3 linked regions of the Caenorhabditis elegans genome follow. The protein of the gene in region 1 purifies or fractionates together with the protein of each later gene. This does not show direct contact. Each region holds a gene or a part of one and is shown on either strand. Other genes may lie near its edges. The genes, in order: Y53C12B.1, F55F8.3 and F13H8.2.

Region 1 (5,557 bases):
TTGCCCGATCCAATCGATCCATGTGCCGTTGGGTGTACGGTAGGAATGATTCAATATATCCATATGCACCGGGCATTGACACTAACTCCTCTGGATCCACGATATGAACAATTTCGTACAAAACTCGTTGTGCAACTGACGATGTTCGACTATTCGTGTTCCATTTCACTGTGAATTGCAGTAGAATCTCAATTTGACGGGTGTCAAGGCGGCGAATTGCGGAACCGAGTTCTTCTGGTGTCTCCTCAGCCATCAGAGCATTTATAACCTGGAAAGAAAGTTTAAAATGGATAATTCAAAACTCATTTAATAGAATTTAACTAATCACCTTAAAAGCACAAAACGGTTTGGCTAGAGTCAGTGCAAACACGAGAGCTTCCGAATATCTCTTCTGACTCAATAAATTTGTCAAAGTCTGATCTTGTTCAATAGCCTCTCTTCTCTTATTATCCTCGGCTTTTTGTTTCTCCTCTGTAACATCCTTCCAGACAACAATCCGCCCATCAGTTCCAGCAGTCACAAACTCTGACTCGTTATGATTTTTCGAAAGCGACCAAATTTTGTCAGTATGCGCATCAATGGAACATTCACAATCAGCAGTTTTGATTGTCCAAATCTTGATGATTCCAGCACTGTCTGCAGAGATCAACTGAGAATCGTTGCGAGCGAATATCACTCGGAATACAGCACAAGAATGTCCGGAAATGGTTTGAAGACAAGATTTTTCCGAGATGTTCCAGATTTTAATGGTCATATCTCCACTGCAAGATGCAAGTTTGTGAGAATTCTTTGCAAATTTAACATCTCCAACTCCACGACGATGTCCTGATAGAGTTCCAGCGATTCCCAATTGCATTTTGTGAGTATCCACTTGCCATAATTTTACTAGTTTATCCATTCCTCCAGTGGCAATAAGAGCATCCGATTCGGAAATATCAACACAATTCACATCTTTTCCATGTGCAACCATTGTTGAACTGCATGTCAGTTTTGGGCTGGAAAGTGAATTATTTTCGCAATAAAAATGTTTTCAAACTTACAGCTGTTCGACAAAATCTTTTTCTGCATCAATTTTGACTTCTTTTAGTTTTGTAGAAACTCCCAATCCCCACAATTTGATAGTACAATCCGTTGATACTGATGCCAGGAAAGGAGCTCGTCCGGTATTGGAAATCGCTAGAGCAGTTACTGTATTTGCATGTCCTGTAGCTGCCGCAACTGGGACCAGAGTGGAGCAAGAGTCATTTTCAGGAGATGTTACAAGTCTCCAAAAGATAATCGAATTATCTTTAGAACATGATGCCAGTAGAGATGTGTCCCAGGTAGGAGATACTACGGAAAGAACTGATTCTGTGTGACCACGAATTAATTGACAATCCAGGGTTTTAGTGTTGTAGAGTCGGATTTCAGAAGTATTGGAAGCGACAGCCATGTGAGATTCATCTTTTCCAAGAAGACAGCACGAATAGATCTGAAGATAGGGAATAATAATTAAGAAGGTTCTTAAATCCAATTATTACTATTCGTAGAAATATTACTTGGCAATTTGAGAGCATATTAAAAGTGGTAATATTCAAAGAAAAAATTATTAAAAAAATGATAAAATCAAATATTTTCGTTTTTCGGTGTTTTTTTACGAATTTTGTATAAAAGATTTACATTCGAAAAATTATACATTAAAGCAACTTGATATGACAAAAATGATATCAACAAATGGTTTTCAATTCCAATTTGCAATCATTGTTTTTCTTTCAAGGTCAACTATAAAACTCACTTCGTCATGGAATCCAACAATTTGTCTTGCAATTTTCAGATTTTCAAAATCCAAAATTATAAGATTTTGTTCGGCGGAAATTGCCAAAAAGCGATTAGAAACAACATCGTAGGCCAAGTGATCGAGATTCGAGCTGGCAATCCTTTTCTTTCTGACCAACTTCGCAGTTTCAATCACAAATTCCTTAACAACACCCTCTTCTCCAACAGTGAAAAGATTTCCGTTATGTCCGATTGCTCCGCCTTCAATTGATTCGTAGAGTGGAAGAACTCGGAGTGTTTCTTGAGTTTCTGTTTCATGAATACTCATCGTCTGATCTCGCGAAAGAGCCACAACAACTCGTGAATCCGGAACTTGAAGCAGTGCGGTAATATGAGAATTATGACTTTTCCATGTGTTTACAAGTTTTTTCGGAGCACCTCTCATTATATTATAGAGGTTCAATTGTCCTTCAATGTATCCAACGACAAGCTTTTCATGTTTTCCGAACAGAATTGCTGAAACTACCGAGGGTCCTTTTAATGTGTGTGTACATTGTTGCTCTGTCAGATTCCAGACTTTCACGATGTGATCGGCACTTCCAGTCGCCAGTAAATGGCCCTCCTCATTGAATTCCATAACGAGAATAGGAGCAGTGTGTATGGTTTTCCATGTTCTGGCCAACTCTGGTTTAGTTGTCGACGGATCCAAAGGAATTGAGTATTCACGAATTATTTGATTGTTATAGGCGACCAAAAGGCGATTTCTGTTCTTGTCGACAGCTGTGCACGTAATGCGTAGCTCATCTTCAGGGTCGCCGATGGTATAGCTGCAAAAGATTTGATGCATTTCAAATTTAATTTATTTTATTAAACTTCAAAATTATTCATATTCAATTTTTCAAATAATCATAATCAATCTACTTCTAGTTTTGTGGGTGAAACTTGTTTTAAAGTTCTGTCGCAACATCACATACCTTGCAGTATTGTCAGCCAGATCAATCACTTTCACAACATTTGTGCATGTAGAAAAAAGTTTCTGACCATTTGCACTCCATCTGACAGTTCCTCCGGTGTAAACTGCTTCGACACTTCTTTTCGCGGCAATTTCCTTGATAGGTTCAGTCATTTCACCTTAAAATGTTTTAGTAACGCAGTTATTTGAGGGATCAAGAGTTAAAAATAAGAATAACATAATTTAAACTGTAAAGGTTGATGAAAAGAATAGAAAATAGGTGAAATTTACTTAAAATCTATCAAATGATCTAAAAAAACGACTCCGTAAATCGACACTAATGCCGAAACAAGTGTCACCGTACTTATTCGCTGCGAGACCCACTTCCCGTTTAATTCTACGCGCCTTTAAGTGCCCACCCATTTCGGCATTTTATCGATGAATTTATTAGCGTTCGCCGACGCTTTTTATAGATTTCTAACCTTTTTGTTCTCTTATTACCTTGCCGCCTTCAAATAAGAGTTATCTTAAACTAGTAACATTATCATTTTGCAATATAAACTCTGGAAAAATATGCAATTATTACATTTCTACACACAAAGTGTTCCGAGTATGTTTTTTTCTGTTATTTCCACTCAACTGAGAACTAAAAACTAGTTTTACCAAAATCACATGTTCCTTTTTCAATTTCTCATTTTCTTTGATACTCTTTGCCAATTGAGCTCCTTATTTTTGAAAACATAGATTCCGATAAAATTTTGCTGATTCTCTTTTTCTAAACATATTGCATATTTTAAAACACTTCGATAGTCAACATTTACAGTCAACGTTCACTTGGTAATGTCTGGACAGCAGTTCCAGCAACATTCACAGCAGCAACAACAACGTGCCCCAACCGTCTATAATAATAACAACAAGAAAAACGGCGGCAGCGCTGCAAACTCAAACCAAAACAACAACAACCCCCATCATACCTCAACGACTGATTCGGTGCCGAACTCGACTGCCAACGTGTCGTCAGCAATTTCGTTTGAGTATTCAGAGCCGCCAGGAAACACCACTAGGACAACACCAGATTCTGGGCTAGGGACTGACGACCAAAAGGGCACACCTCAACAGACACGTGCTCCGCCAGGATTTGTAAGTAGGAAACTATTGAAAATCCTATCGAAAAAAGATAAGTCAGAAAAAGAACACTTTTGAGGTGCGCAAGGTTTTAAGAGAATTGAGAGATTTTTCAAATCAGTGAAATATCAAACATGTAATTTATCTCATTCATTTTCAGCATCGAGCAGCTTATCATCGGAACAGCGGTCAACAGCAATTCTCTCAAATGCGCCCACAGCCGCCACATACTGGACCACCAAATGGTATGACATATTACGGAGGAACCGTCGGCGCGCCCGGCTATCAGCAACAACAACCACCACCACAAGAAGGATATGATCAACAGCAGCAGTTTGGAGGTGGATCCGATGGTGGACAATACCAAAGAGGACCACCAGGAGGCTATCGGGTATGGAGAATTACGGGCTCCTCAATTATTTCTAGCTCATAATAATTTTTTAATGAGCGTTATGATTTGGAAATTATATCTACAGGAAAATAATGAGAAGAGTTGATAGACATTTTGCAAATTCTTTATTTTCAGCAGTATCAACAAATGGAAAGCGGTGGTCCGCCAAGTGGATACGCGGATGACAACAACGGTGGAAACAATAATTTTGTCATTCATGGCCCCAACGATAATTTCGATGGTCGGCCACAATATAGTTGGTGCAAACTTACTGTGTTCTGTTCAAAAGCATAATTTTAGATCCTCAAGCAGGGCCACCACCACAAAATCAGCAGCAAATGATGAACAGTGGCAACTATGAAATTGATCAGTACCGTGGACAAGGACCTCCTCCAGGAAATACCTATCAACAGCAGGGACATAGTGGACAAGCTCAATATTATGCTGGACCAGTAATCCAGCAACGGCCACCACCGCCACACAATGCTCAATCTTATGGACAGTATAGGGGTCCACAAGGCCCGCAAGGCCAAATTATTCAAATGATGCCTCACAATCCACAGAATCAACAGCAGCAGCAACAACATCCAATGCTGTATCCAATGGTGTATGTTCCTGTGCCAGCACCACGAGTGTTCCGGCAAGAGCCAGCTGGTGGAGCTAGCAGTTTGGAAAAAGACGGAGGAAATGCTCGCAAAAGTAAACGAAACAGTCAAAATGAGGACGATGGTCAGCAACATCAACATCAGAATGAACAACAACCTCAACAAGGCTACCATCAACAGGATTTTGTATCGAACCCACTCTGGAATCAGATGCCTGTCGGTTACGCTCCACCAGGAAACTTCACGCAGCCTCAGCAACAACATCAACAAATGGATCAACAACAAGCCGTCCAAATGCAACATCAGATGCAGGTACAACTTTAAAAAAATTAGGGGAAGATTTTATATTATATTTTGACAATTTCACAGAGTTACACTTTTTTTAAAAAGAACAAACAACAATTCCTCAGATGTTTCAGCAAATGCAACCATACGGAATGCCACAAGGAGGCCCACCACCACCTCATGCTGCTGCTTCTATGATGAATCATCCCCATCAGCAAAATCATCCTCATATGAATGCACAAATGACCCAACAACAGCATCCAGGACAATATCTACCGCAACAATATATGCAAATGGTTCCGCCGCCTCACCATCAAATGCAACAAATGCAACAGCAAGGTAGACGTCCAGGAGGTGTTGAGCCGCTCATGGGAGGCCCGCCGTATCAAATGAGTGGACAAATTAATCAAATGGGAGGACCAATACGTGGAGGTTTTGGAATGC
Region 2 (5,557 bases), on another chromosome or scaffold:
CACCCTTAAATTCGTTTTTGGAACTAATTTTTCGCAACAAAAAATATAATAAAAACAACGTACTCTGTGAGATGCTAGTTGATTCCAAACATTCAGTGATATATTGTGCATTATTCAGTCGAAGAGAAGCCATAATAGCAGTTGAATAATCATTATTCCATACAGCTCTTTTGATAACCTCTGCATTAGTTTGACTGTCTAATTGGAATGGATCAAACATTGAAATAGTATCCAATGAATATACAGAAACACCTTCTGTTGAACAAATTGCGAATCTTCTTCCAGTCGGACAATATGTAACTTCATAAATATTCACTTCAGGACGAGCTCTTCGTTCTCCCAAATCAAAATTTTTTGTTCCAGGAAGCTTAATTGACATTTTGTTGTTTGGCTCCAGCTCATCCTCTTCATCAGAAGTATCCACTAGTTGCATATTTCCAAATTCTGTGAAGTTTCGTCGATTGAAATCCAAAATAACTCCATCGAGACTTCGATTAGCTGTTATTTGCCATTTCTTCAGAATCATACGCTCCGGAACTGAAAAAAAATATTAAATTGTTTGAAAATTCTAAAAACTTTTAAAAAAATCTATTACCTGAGTAAAGACAGAAATTATTCGATTCTCCACCAGCCAATAATAAATTTCCATCGGGAGAGAATCGAATTCTCGTGAATGTTTTTGTTTTGGCCGCCGATTGTCTTGTAATTGTGTCACGTGATCCACGAGCCGGATCAGTATCCAATTTAGTATCAATACTTCCCAAATTAATCATTTCCTTTGCTTCAAAGAAAGTGATGACTCCATCCGATGTAAGAACAGCAATCTCATCTCCAGCCGGAGAAAATTTGACATCGAGTGCTTCATGTGATACTTCGACAGTTTCTGCTTGTGAATCGACAATTGTCCACATTTTGATCGTCCTATCCCATGAACCACTGACAATATGATTTCCGTGAATATCGATTGACGAGATTGCAGATTCATGTCCTGAGAGAATATCCAACAGGTGACCTGTTTCGAAAGACCAAATGTAAATCTGAAAATAAGAAAATAAAATTTGTTTGGAAAATATTTCAAACTTACATTGAAAACTTCCTTAGCTCCAGCAATAACCAAATCTCCTGCTTTATCAACTGCTAACGTAGCCAATTGAGTTGGTTCAGGACACACGAGAGTACGGAAATTTCGATATCTTTTGAGATCATGTGCACGAACAGTTCCATCGAGTGATGCACTTAGGATAGCTCTTCCAGATTGTGTCCATTTCACAGCTGTTACACCAGAAGTGTGTTCATCAAATGTGACCGTACAGAACGAGGAACGAGAATTCCAAATCTTCACTTTTCCATCTTCAGCTCCAGTAGCCATAAGTGAGCCATCGGGGGAATATTCTGCAGTAGTGATACGAAGAGAATGAGCTTGCTGCTTCATTACATATGATTCGGATTGCCATTCCCATACGACCAACTGAGCTGTTGAACCTTTTCCGCAACCAATTGCCAACCAGTCGCCTAAAAGTTTTATAAAGGTTTACAGTTTTTTGGTAGGACTCTGATCTTTAACATAAATTTCACTTAAAGAAATCTACATTTTTGTAAAAATCAATAACCTGTAAGATTCCAAGCAACCGTTTGAATTCTCATTTCAGAAACTCTTAAATTGTGAACCAAAGCAAACGAAGGAATTTCATGAAGAACAATAACTCCATTATTGAACGCAGTTGCCAAAATATTAGTTTCTTTGTGAAATCTAGCTGCAGTCACATCCACAGACTTTCCTGAGCCCGACGATTCAGATAACCAATATTTTTTTGTTTTTTCAAAGAAAATTTTCTCGACTTTCTGTTCTCCATCTTCCAACATTTCAATATCATCTGATCCTTCTTCATCTTTCTTCCAGATTCCTTCAACCAACTCTCCTGGACGCAGATTACATGTCCAAACGTTTGCAAGTCCACGTTTACATACTGTAATCATCTGGAAAAGTAGCCACTGATAAAGGAAACATCATATATCAAACTAACATCGTAAGAGTTCTTCATGAATTGACAATTTACAATATATCCTTTGTGTGAAGCCAGTGGGTGAATGAACAAATTTTTGAAATCTTTTGCACCAACAACTCGAACAACTCTGTCCTCACCACCAGAAACGAGGAGACTGGAAATTATTTAGTGGGTATTGGGAAAAAAACGTTTCATTTTCAAAAAAAAAACTAACTTTGCATCATCTGACCAGTCAATTGTTTTGAGACTATCACTGCTCAATTTGTAGGTTCTTGACAGACTGAACGGGTTATAAACTTTATTTTCGATGCTTTTGCCAAATTCATGGATCTGAAGGTCGTTTTCACGGCAAATAGCAACTCGGCTGGAAATGAAAATATGAGTTTAGAAACTGCAATTATTTGCTTTTTTCTTACGTTGCGTCTGGTGACCACTGAAGTGATCCGATCGGTTTGTTGCTGCGAAAAGTATATATTTTGAATTCGGACAGCAAATGGACAAAGTGAACAACTCCACCTGAAGAATATTAATATTGACTTCGAATAGGTTTCATTATAACCCACGCTCGTCAGAAGCAAGAAGATGATAACCCGATGGACTAATAGAGAGTCTTTTAATGTTGTAATTGCAGTCAATATCCAATGTTTTTGAAGTATTGCTGAAAAATTATATATCAAATGTGAATATAAAATTATTTTTTACTTTCTGAGATCAAAAATTGATAGCTTGTTGCCAATAGGTGAAATCACTGAGTATCCATCTTTGCTGAACGCCACTTGACCGTCTCGATACACTGTACCAATGCAATTGGACAACTAAAATGGGTTTGGTGGAATATTAATTGAATAATTAACGCTTCAAATAATTACCTTGAAATTAGTGTCCATAGTGAATGGCAAGACTTCAATGAAACAAGCTGAAAATGGAAGAAATAATGAAAACTAAAATATATTTTATTTATATAAAATACAAAGCACGAATTCCGCGCTAAGAATCTTCATTGGCGCAATTCTCGTGCGTTGACGCAATTGCGGATTTTAGAAGTATCGCAATGAGAGATAAAAACATTTCCATTGAAGAATATTCTTAAGAATATTATTTATAAAACACCAAATACAAGAAATTTATAAACAGCAAAAATGTGTGAAAATACTTTATTAGACATGACGGAAAAAATTTAAAAGAAAACCACATTTAATAATTTTAAAAATTGATTTGAATAGCGTTCATTTATGCGACTTCTTTCTCCACATTTTCGGTGATTCAGATCCATCACGATCAGGCGATCCGGAATCATGACGACGCCTTCTCACAGGCAACTTGTTGGGCGATGGACTTCTACGACGTCGGATCGGTGACGTAGAAAGACGCCTTGTTGGCGGGGAATCGGATGGTGAACGTCTCTTGCGCTGTCGTTCTGGTGATGGAGATCTACGTCTTCTTGGTGATGCAACCATCGGAGATGATTGGCGACGTCGCAGTGGCGAGTATTGTTTTCTCGAACCCAGCTGACGATTGTCAGGAGACGGAGAACGACGTCTTCTAACAGGGGACACTGATCGTGAATCATGACGGCCATTTCTTTTTTGTTCTGGTGAATGTTTACGAACACGCTGACTTTCCTTCCGAATCGACGATGGACTTCGCCGTCTTCTCACTGGTGAATCCTGACGTTGTTTGGGTGAAGATTTCCGATCTCGTGAGCTTCTCCTCTCCGGCGATTTCAACCCGATACTTCTTTTGGCGTTCGGAGAATCATCTCTTCGAGATCTCTTCCTCTCTGACGATCTTACTTCGTTTGACGATTCTGAATCATTATGCGCTCTTTTTCGGCTCGAATCCTTTCTTCCATGGGAATTCTCGTCTTCTGATAAAACTTCCTGCTTGATATACTTCGATCTGTATTCCGGAGAACTTTCCACTTCTCTTTTGATCCTTTTCGATGATTTTTCTGAAACATGAACTGGTTGAAAAATCGAGAAACTAATAACTACTCTAAGCGTTTCGTTAATATTTGATATCAATGAACAAGTGTTTAGGATCAAATTAATTATGTAAAAACCTCATCTTTAAATACCTTTCCAATCATCCTCACTATCGCTGCCATCAGAATCGTCATCAGTTTCACGAGATTTGCTCTTCTTATTTTTCTTCTTATCTTTCTTCTTGTCTTTATTCTTCCGTTTCTCTTTCTTTTCCTTCTTCTTCTCTTTTTTACTCTTCTTCTTCATTACATCTTCCAAATCTGCACCGCTCATCAGCTTCTTATGCAATTTCTTTTTTTCCTTTTCAGTCATCGAATTGAAAAACTCCAGCATCATTTCTTCTTCGGTCATTTCTTTTTTCATTCTTGTTAGCTGTTGATCTGTCTGCATTCCAGCCAAAACAGAACTTTTGAGTTTGATTCCATGTTCTTCACGCATATCACTCGCAAGTTGCTGATGATCCATCCACTCATCCTCATCGTCATCTTCTCCTGTCGCCGCAGCAGCAGACGATTTCGATGTTGAAGGTCCTGCTTTGCCTTCCTGTCGTCTCCGACGAAGATCTTTGATTAGGTCTGATGGATTATTTGCATCTGAAAATTGATTTTACACATTTAATTCGATTTTTTTTCGGAAACTTACATCCTTCATCTTCAAAATTTCCAGATTTTCCGAACAATGGACATTCTCGATCCGTATTTATATGACCCCATTTGTGGCATTTACAGCATCGAACATTTCTAACTTGAATTCCGAATGGTTGATCTTGGATCTCTTCATTTCCTTTAGCCCAATCTTCACGTGGTGCTTGATATTTCCGTTGCCATTCGAATTTCGGCTCTTCTTTCGGTTCTTCTCTCTTTGTCATTCCAGCTGGAGCATCATACATGAACGATAATCCCATTTTGGCCTTTTCGTCTCCAAGAAGAGCTCTGAAAAATATTTATAATCTAGTGAGAAGATATTGAATGCAACATACTTGTTATTCAAAATTTCTTGCTCTTTCTCATAAGCAACTCGAAGTTCTTCTTGTCGTTTGTCCTCCAAAGACTTCTTCTGTCGTGCTTCCCAGACCATTTTGAGATTCCGAAAAGCGGATGGATGGAAGTCCTTTTTGGACATGAAGTTTTGAAAACCCTTCCCCATTTTGCAACGCTTTTGTTTTGATTCTCACTGAAAAATTCTGAAAATACTTGAATGAAAAATTGAAGAAAGAAAAATAATTGAAATATTTAACACAGTTCAAAACTGTCAGAAGGTAATGGAAAATAAATTCAAGTGGATAACTTCATAAAAAGTTCAACAAAAAATCAAAATCAACAAATAGAAAACGCGGTATATAGAAAAAAAAACAATATAAGAATTTGTAGAATAACAAAAAACAAAACAAATCAAGCAGTCTCAAAGATTTTGATTGTGCAGTCTGCGGATCCAGTTGCAATTAGTCCTTCATTCCACGTGGCACACAAAATACGATCATCGTGTCCATGAATGTCGAACAATGAAGACTTTGAGGATCTGAAACAAACCGAATATTAAAGTAAAAACTGAATGGTTCTTTAATTT
Region 3 (5,557 bases), 3.5 Mb from region 1:
AACCTTGTTAGATATACAGCAACATGGGTGCACAATTCAGCTTTATACTGTTGTTGTGTGCAAGATGAAATAGCCAGAAGGATGTCCGCAACGTAGGAGAGAGGTACTAGAAGCAGTGTTCTATCAAGGTCGCTGGCTCTACATTTGGCGACGACATCAACGATGAAATGATCCAATGATTTACTGTTATACGCTCCAATAAGAGGATGTGGTTCATGCCCTGGATCTTCTTGGCGTTGAACCTTCTCGTTTCTAGCAATGTCAACTGCTTGAATGATATTTTCAGCGGATACAACACTGGAACTTGTCTTGCTGCTAGCCACACCAGCTTCATTGTCAGCATTTTCACCAGCAACAACGTCTTCCTCTTCAATAAGTTTTTTCTCGTATTCTTCTTCTCTTTCAACTTCCTCTCGTTCCTCGACAATTAAAATTTCATCGGTTTTCTCCCAGCAACGGATTGACTTGTCATGAGAAGCAGAGAACTGAAAATCAATATTTTGAATTAACAGGTATTTTTCACTTTATAATACTCACCATAACAGATCCATTAGTAAACTGAGCCAAACAACGAATATCCAAAGTGTGTCGATCAAGAACTTGAACCATAATAAATTTCACTGCATCCCATTGTTTAATTTTTCCATCTTTTCCGGCGCTCCAGAAGAGTTGTTCTTCTCCAGGACAGAATAAAACCGAAGTTACTGCATCATCGTGTGCATGGAATGATTTATGACAATCACCGAAATCCAATCCCCATACTTTGACTGATTTATCGACGGATCCAGTGACACAAAGTTTACTGGAAGGTGCAATATCGACACATGTGACAGGCAGTGAATGTCCGTATAGAGAAACAAAGAATTTAAGCGTATTAACAAAATACACTGAACATGTGTTATTCAGAAGAGCCACAACAAGAAATTTTCCATCCGCAGAGAAACTTGCAGCCAATGCTTCATCGGGAAGTTCGAGAACTTTTTGTTCTTTGATGGAAATTCTCTTTCTTGATCCTTCTGTCACCAGCACAAATGACCAAAATCGAACCGTCTTATCTGCAGAAGCCGTGATAAATCCTTCATTGTCAGGTGAATTTTGAATAGTCCAAATCGCTCCAGTGTGTGCTTTTCTTGTTTCAACCAGCTCGGCACTACTTAACTCGAACACGCCGATTTCTCCGTTCTGCAATGACAAAGTTAACTTCAAAAAATATTATACAACACAATACCTTTCCACCAGTTAAAATGTAGTTATCACCAGGAACAAAATTAACTGCGACAATGTCTTTGATATCGTTGTCAGTCAATGTTAATGACGACCGCAATGAGTGTGTACTCCATACAATTACTTCATTTCCACCTCCAGAAGCAAGAAGACTTGAAGAAGAAGATACACATAAAGCACGTACATCTTCTCTGTGACCGAGTTTGTCTAGATTACCAACACTATCACATTCAACACTATTTGACGTAGTTTCAATACTCATTTTGACCCAATGAACTGTGTTGTCTGTGAGAAGTGCATACCACTTATAAATTAAAGTGTTTTCGTTTGTTTTGACTGATCTCACAACATCAATCCACTTGATTTTATGAGGTAAAACCATCTCTCCAATGCGAGTAACAAGAATTGTCACATCTTTTGCCACATCATCCTCGTTAACTGTTGTTGTGTCAGATCTGAGAAAATGTAGTTGATGAAACAGTTATTTATTGACAACTTACGTCGCTTTTCGTTTAGCACTTTTTAACTTTTTGGTAAGCCTTTTTGCAGATTCGGTTTCGGAGAAGACTCTATAGACGTCGGCCACTTTATCAGCACCAACACATACTAAGAATCGATCATCATGAGTTGCGACCAATTGCAGAGCTCTTCCTTTGCTCTGACGGATCACTCTTCCGCGCAGCTTTGTCGTGATATATCTCTGAACATTGATTATAATAACTTATTTTTTTAGAAAACTATTACATTGGCCATATTAGCAAGAACATCATCTTCCTTTTCATCATCGTTTGTTGCTTTCTTTGCAGAAGGTTCTTCACTTTTTACTTCTTGTTCAAAGATAGCGCCATTTTTCCAATTGAGTTCGAAAACAAGCAATTCTAATTCAGCAGTTGCAGCTACAAGTACTGTTTCATCACGATGCAAGCTCATTGAATAAATTTCGTTTCGGCTGTCCATCACTGTATAAAAGCATGACTGCGAGGCAATACTCCAAAACTTGATCAAACTGTCTTTCGATCTGAGAGAAACAAGCACATTACTTCAATAAAATTAAGTTGAAACATACGTGGAAATTATGAATCTATCACCGCGGACAAATTTCATTTGTGTGACTGATTCCTTGTGGCCGTGTAAACGAAACATTCCACGTTCGGCAAGAATGTCCCACAGAACAATGACTCCATCTTTTCCACCCGTCGCAAACAGAAGGCCATCACTGCTAAACTCGATGCAGTTCACAGCTTTCTTGTGACCAGAGAACATAATTGGTTCAGAATCTGAATGCAATTGTTGTGATTTTGATTGAATAATCAAATTAAAACCTTCATTTTCTTGATTGAACAACTTCACTGAACCATCGGCATATCCAATTGCAAGAAGCGGTTTGTTCTCGCATTGCCGAACACACGAAATTGGCTTTGTAGATTCAATAATTTCGTTAACCTGAAAATATTTACAAATTAATGTGATTTGTATTTTAATAAACCTTTTCTGCAGTTCTCATGTTGTAGAAATTTAAATATTCATTTGCCGATACAGCAACGGTTTGTCCATCAATCGCAACAAGTTGGCCGTTGGCAGATCCAACGCACCCACAGGAGCCGGCATGTTCATATTTCAAATAATCCTTGGTCAATCCCATCTGAAAACAAACAATTATAATTTTTGGGCAATTCCAATAGGTTTATAAAAACATAATTGACAATGTTTTTGGTGATGAAAAAAGAGCCAACAACTCGAAAATTGGGTTGTGTGCAAATAGCAAAGCAGAACTCGGAAATAATTATAGACCATTGAACAATTTCGAATGAAAAAAAGATGTGCAAAATTTAACATGTATTTATTATCTAGAGACGCAAACGCAATACGGAAAAAACATAATTATAAAACTCGAGAAATAATTATCAAAAAAGATTGAGATGTCAATTGACGCGCATTGTCCGCAAACACGACTACGAGGAAATGCACAGATTGTGAAAAAGGAGGGAAGTTTAAATTTGAGGATCTACAAAAATCGAGACCCGAAGAACTCGGGGGATGTCCAACTGGGGGGATTCCCAACTCGGGGGATTGGCCACGCCCACAGAACCGTGCCTTACAATACGCCCATTTCTGCAACCTCCGCACGGTTTTGAATGATGATTTTTCTTCATTGTTTTTTGGGGGAGAAAAATCAATTTCGACTCTAAAAAGTTCAATTTGAATTGTTTTTTTCGGTTTTTGAGTCGTTTTCGCGGAATAAAAGTAAAATATTTCAAAAAAATCGATATTTCGCAGTGAAACAACAATTTACACGGAAAGGGGACGCGTAAAAATCGATTATTTGCAAGGAAAGAACAATTTACACGAGAGGAGACGAAGTGAAGAACGTAGAACGAGTTCTATTTAAAAAATTCGAATAAGATAACCTGAAAAATTGTCATGAAATGTTTTTCAGAGCCGACGGAAATTGTTCAATGAAATTATTGTACAAATTGGTTTGCAAGCTATTCATTGAACATTAAGAGCGAGATTTTATTGATCATGATAATTATTTACAGATAAGGATAATATTACATTTAATGAATTGCATAATTTCAACAAAAAAAACAATAATTTGTCATGAAAACGGAAGAATTTGGAGGATGAGCAGCTCGGGCGGATCTGAAAAATTTAAATTAGAACTTTCATAAAGACATCGCTGATATATAAATGAAAAAAGATTTTATCTGGTCTATTATCAGATTCGCTTAGTTTTTAGAGGCTTTTGGCTTAAATTCAAAAAGAACATTCAAAATAACATGGTTATTGCGAAGAAGAACTGATCGCCCGCCACTATGCAGAAATTCCGACTTCAAAAGAGCAGTGACAGCAAATTATAGCTGTTTCAACGATTTCAATGCCTCTATAAGTCCATATATGTTCGATCCGAAGATATTTCATTAATTTTTTGTTAAACTATTTCAATTTTTGTTCTTAAATCAATTTTTTTCCTACTTTCTACAATTTGAGAATATAATACTAACGTGGGTGGACTGGAGAAGCACATCCTTGTTTCATCCGTGCAATTTTGATGGTCCCTCGATTCGACGAAGTCTAGAAATTAAAAAAATCAATAAAATATGAGAGGGAAAGAGATTAACAAAAGGAATACACGAATTAAGGAGGGCGAATTAACAAGTCACGGTTGAAAAATACTTCTTTTTGCGAAAATGGCTGAAAAAACGAAGAAAAACAATTCAAATTGAACTTTTTAGAGTCGAAATTGAATTTTCTCCCCCAAAAAACAATGAAGAAAATCATCGTTCAAAACCGTGCGGAGGTTGCAGAAATGGGCGTATTGTAAGGCACGGTTCTGTGGGCGTGGCCAATCCCCCGAGTTGGGAATCCCCCCAGTTGGACATCCCCCGAGTTCTTCGGGTCTCCAAAAATCGCCTGACGGTTACCTGCGCCTGAAAAGAACCAGAAATTCTCTCCAGGATTTTATCATTGCCGAACTTTTATGTTTTTTTTAATTGAAAACAACTTTTCACAAATTGTTGTATAGTGTTTTTGTTCTTGTATACCCGTAAATCGACACAAGATACAGTAACCCGTTTTCCATACGGTCATTTTCTGAAAAAAAAAACAGTAGTTCGCTACCGAGGAGTTATTAGAAACTTTAAATCAGGTAAACAAAGGTTTAGCTAATTAGATACTATAACATTTGACAGTTTTTGATTCCTCCGCCTTTTGAGGAAATATGTATTTGAAAAATGTATATGAATGAATAAAAATCCAATATTTCACTCTTTCTAATGTTAAGGAAAACTTATTTAGTAATAAAAATAAAAAGTTTGAACAAAATTATTTATTTAAATACATGTAACTATCAGAATGAATATTTGTATAGCGTGTTGGACGGGTCATTCAGATAAGATCATCAAGAATCTTCATATTTTGAAGAAAAATCAGTTTTTAAAATATTAGCAACAAAATTCAAAAGGTAGGTTTCGATTTCTGTTCAGCAGAACGCGCACAGTTGATTCGAGTTTGATCTGTCACAGGTGGGAAGCGGGGCTCTCTGGTAACCGGCCACTGCCAAGAGTTCGGCAACTTTTCGGTAACCGAAGATCAAGTTGCCCAAGTGTTGTGGTTTTTGCCGTAGAGTCTTGGCGGAAACAAGCTACGCTTGTTGGCTCGACTTGTGGGTTGGATTATGAACTGGCTTGTAATTTGAAAAACCAAGAAATCTGCAGAACATGGAAAAGCAACTAGACTGTTTGTCAATTTATAATAAAGAGTTGTGTTGCAAAAAAGTCCGTATCATGAATAACATGCTTCTGACCCGTGACAGGCCAAACGCGAATCACAT

What was found.
Region 2: the proteins of Y53C12B.1 (region 1) and F55F8.3 fractionate together in Caenorhabditis elegans (co-fractionation; one large-scale study listed by BioGRID). This does not show direct contact.
Region 3: the proteins of Y53C12B.1 (region 1) and F13H8.2 fractionate together in Caenorhabditis elegans (co-fractionation; one large-scale study listed by BioGRID). This does not show direct contact.

Annotation. Positions count from the first base shown.
Region 1 is NC_003280.10:9,743,187-9,748,743, forward strand, and holds the start of Y53C12B.1 (U3 small nucleolar RNA-associated protein 13 C-terminal domain-containing protein), read right to left. Parts: upstream 2,893-5,557; 5' UTR 2,882-2,892; coding exon 2,730-2,881; intron 2,583-2,729; coding exon 1,775-2,582; intron 1,472-1,774; coding exon 1,041-1,471; intron 996-1,040; coding exon 329-995; intron 269-328; coding exon 1-268. Other genes in the region: nos-3 (Nanos-type domain-containing protein), read left to right, coding at 3,281-3,317, 3,531-3,847, 3,993-4,223, 4,359-4,479, 4,524-5,140, 5,239-5,557.
Region 2 is NC_003279.8:5,650,684-5,656,240, forward strand, and holds the start of F55F8.3 (Periodic tryptophan protein 2 homolog), read right to left. Parts: upstream 2,966-5,557; 5' UTR 2,894-2,965; coding exon 2,876-2,893; intron 2,822-2,875; coding exon 2,709-2,821; intron 2,665-2,708; coding exon 2,570-2,664; intron 2,523-2,569; coding exon 2,423-2,522; intron 2,371-2,422; coding exon 2,221-2,370; intron 2,161-2,220; coding exon 2,025-2,160; intron 1,978-2,024; coding exon 1,611-1,977; intron 1,513-1,610; coding exon 1,085-1,512; intron 1,038-1,084; coding exon 596-1,037; intron 538-595; coding exon 64-537; intron 1-63. Other genes in the region: cir-1 (CBF1-interacting co-repressor CIR N-terminal domain-containing protein), read right to left, coding at 3,233-3,957, 4,084-4,584, 4,634-4,923, 4,971-5,137; wdr-12 (Ribosome biogenesis protein WDR12 homolog), read right to left, coding at 5,383-5,509.
Region 3 is NC_003280.10:6,267,681-6,273,237, reverse strand, and holds the start of F13H8.2 (Small-subunit processome Utp12 domain-containing protein), read right to left. Parts: upstream 2,875-5,557; 5' UTR 2,867-2,874; coding exon 2,711-2,866; intron 2,668-2,710; coding exon 2,547-2,667; intron 2,502-2,546; coding exon 2,291-2,501; intron 2,243-2,290; coding exon 1,969-2,242; intron 1,925-1,968; coding exon 1,725-1,924; intron 1,680-1,724; coding exon 1,229-1,679; intron 1,183-1,228; coding exon 538-1,182; intron 486-537; coding exon 4-485; intron 1-3.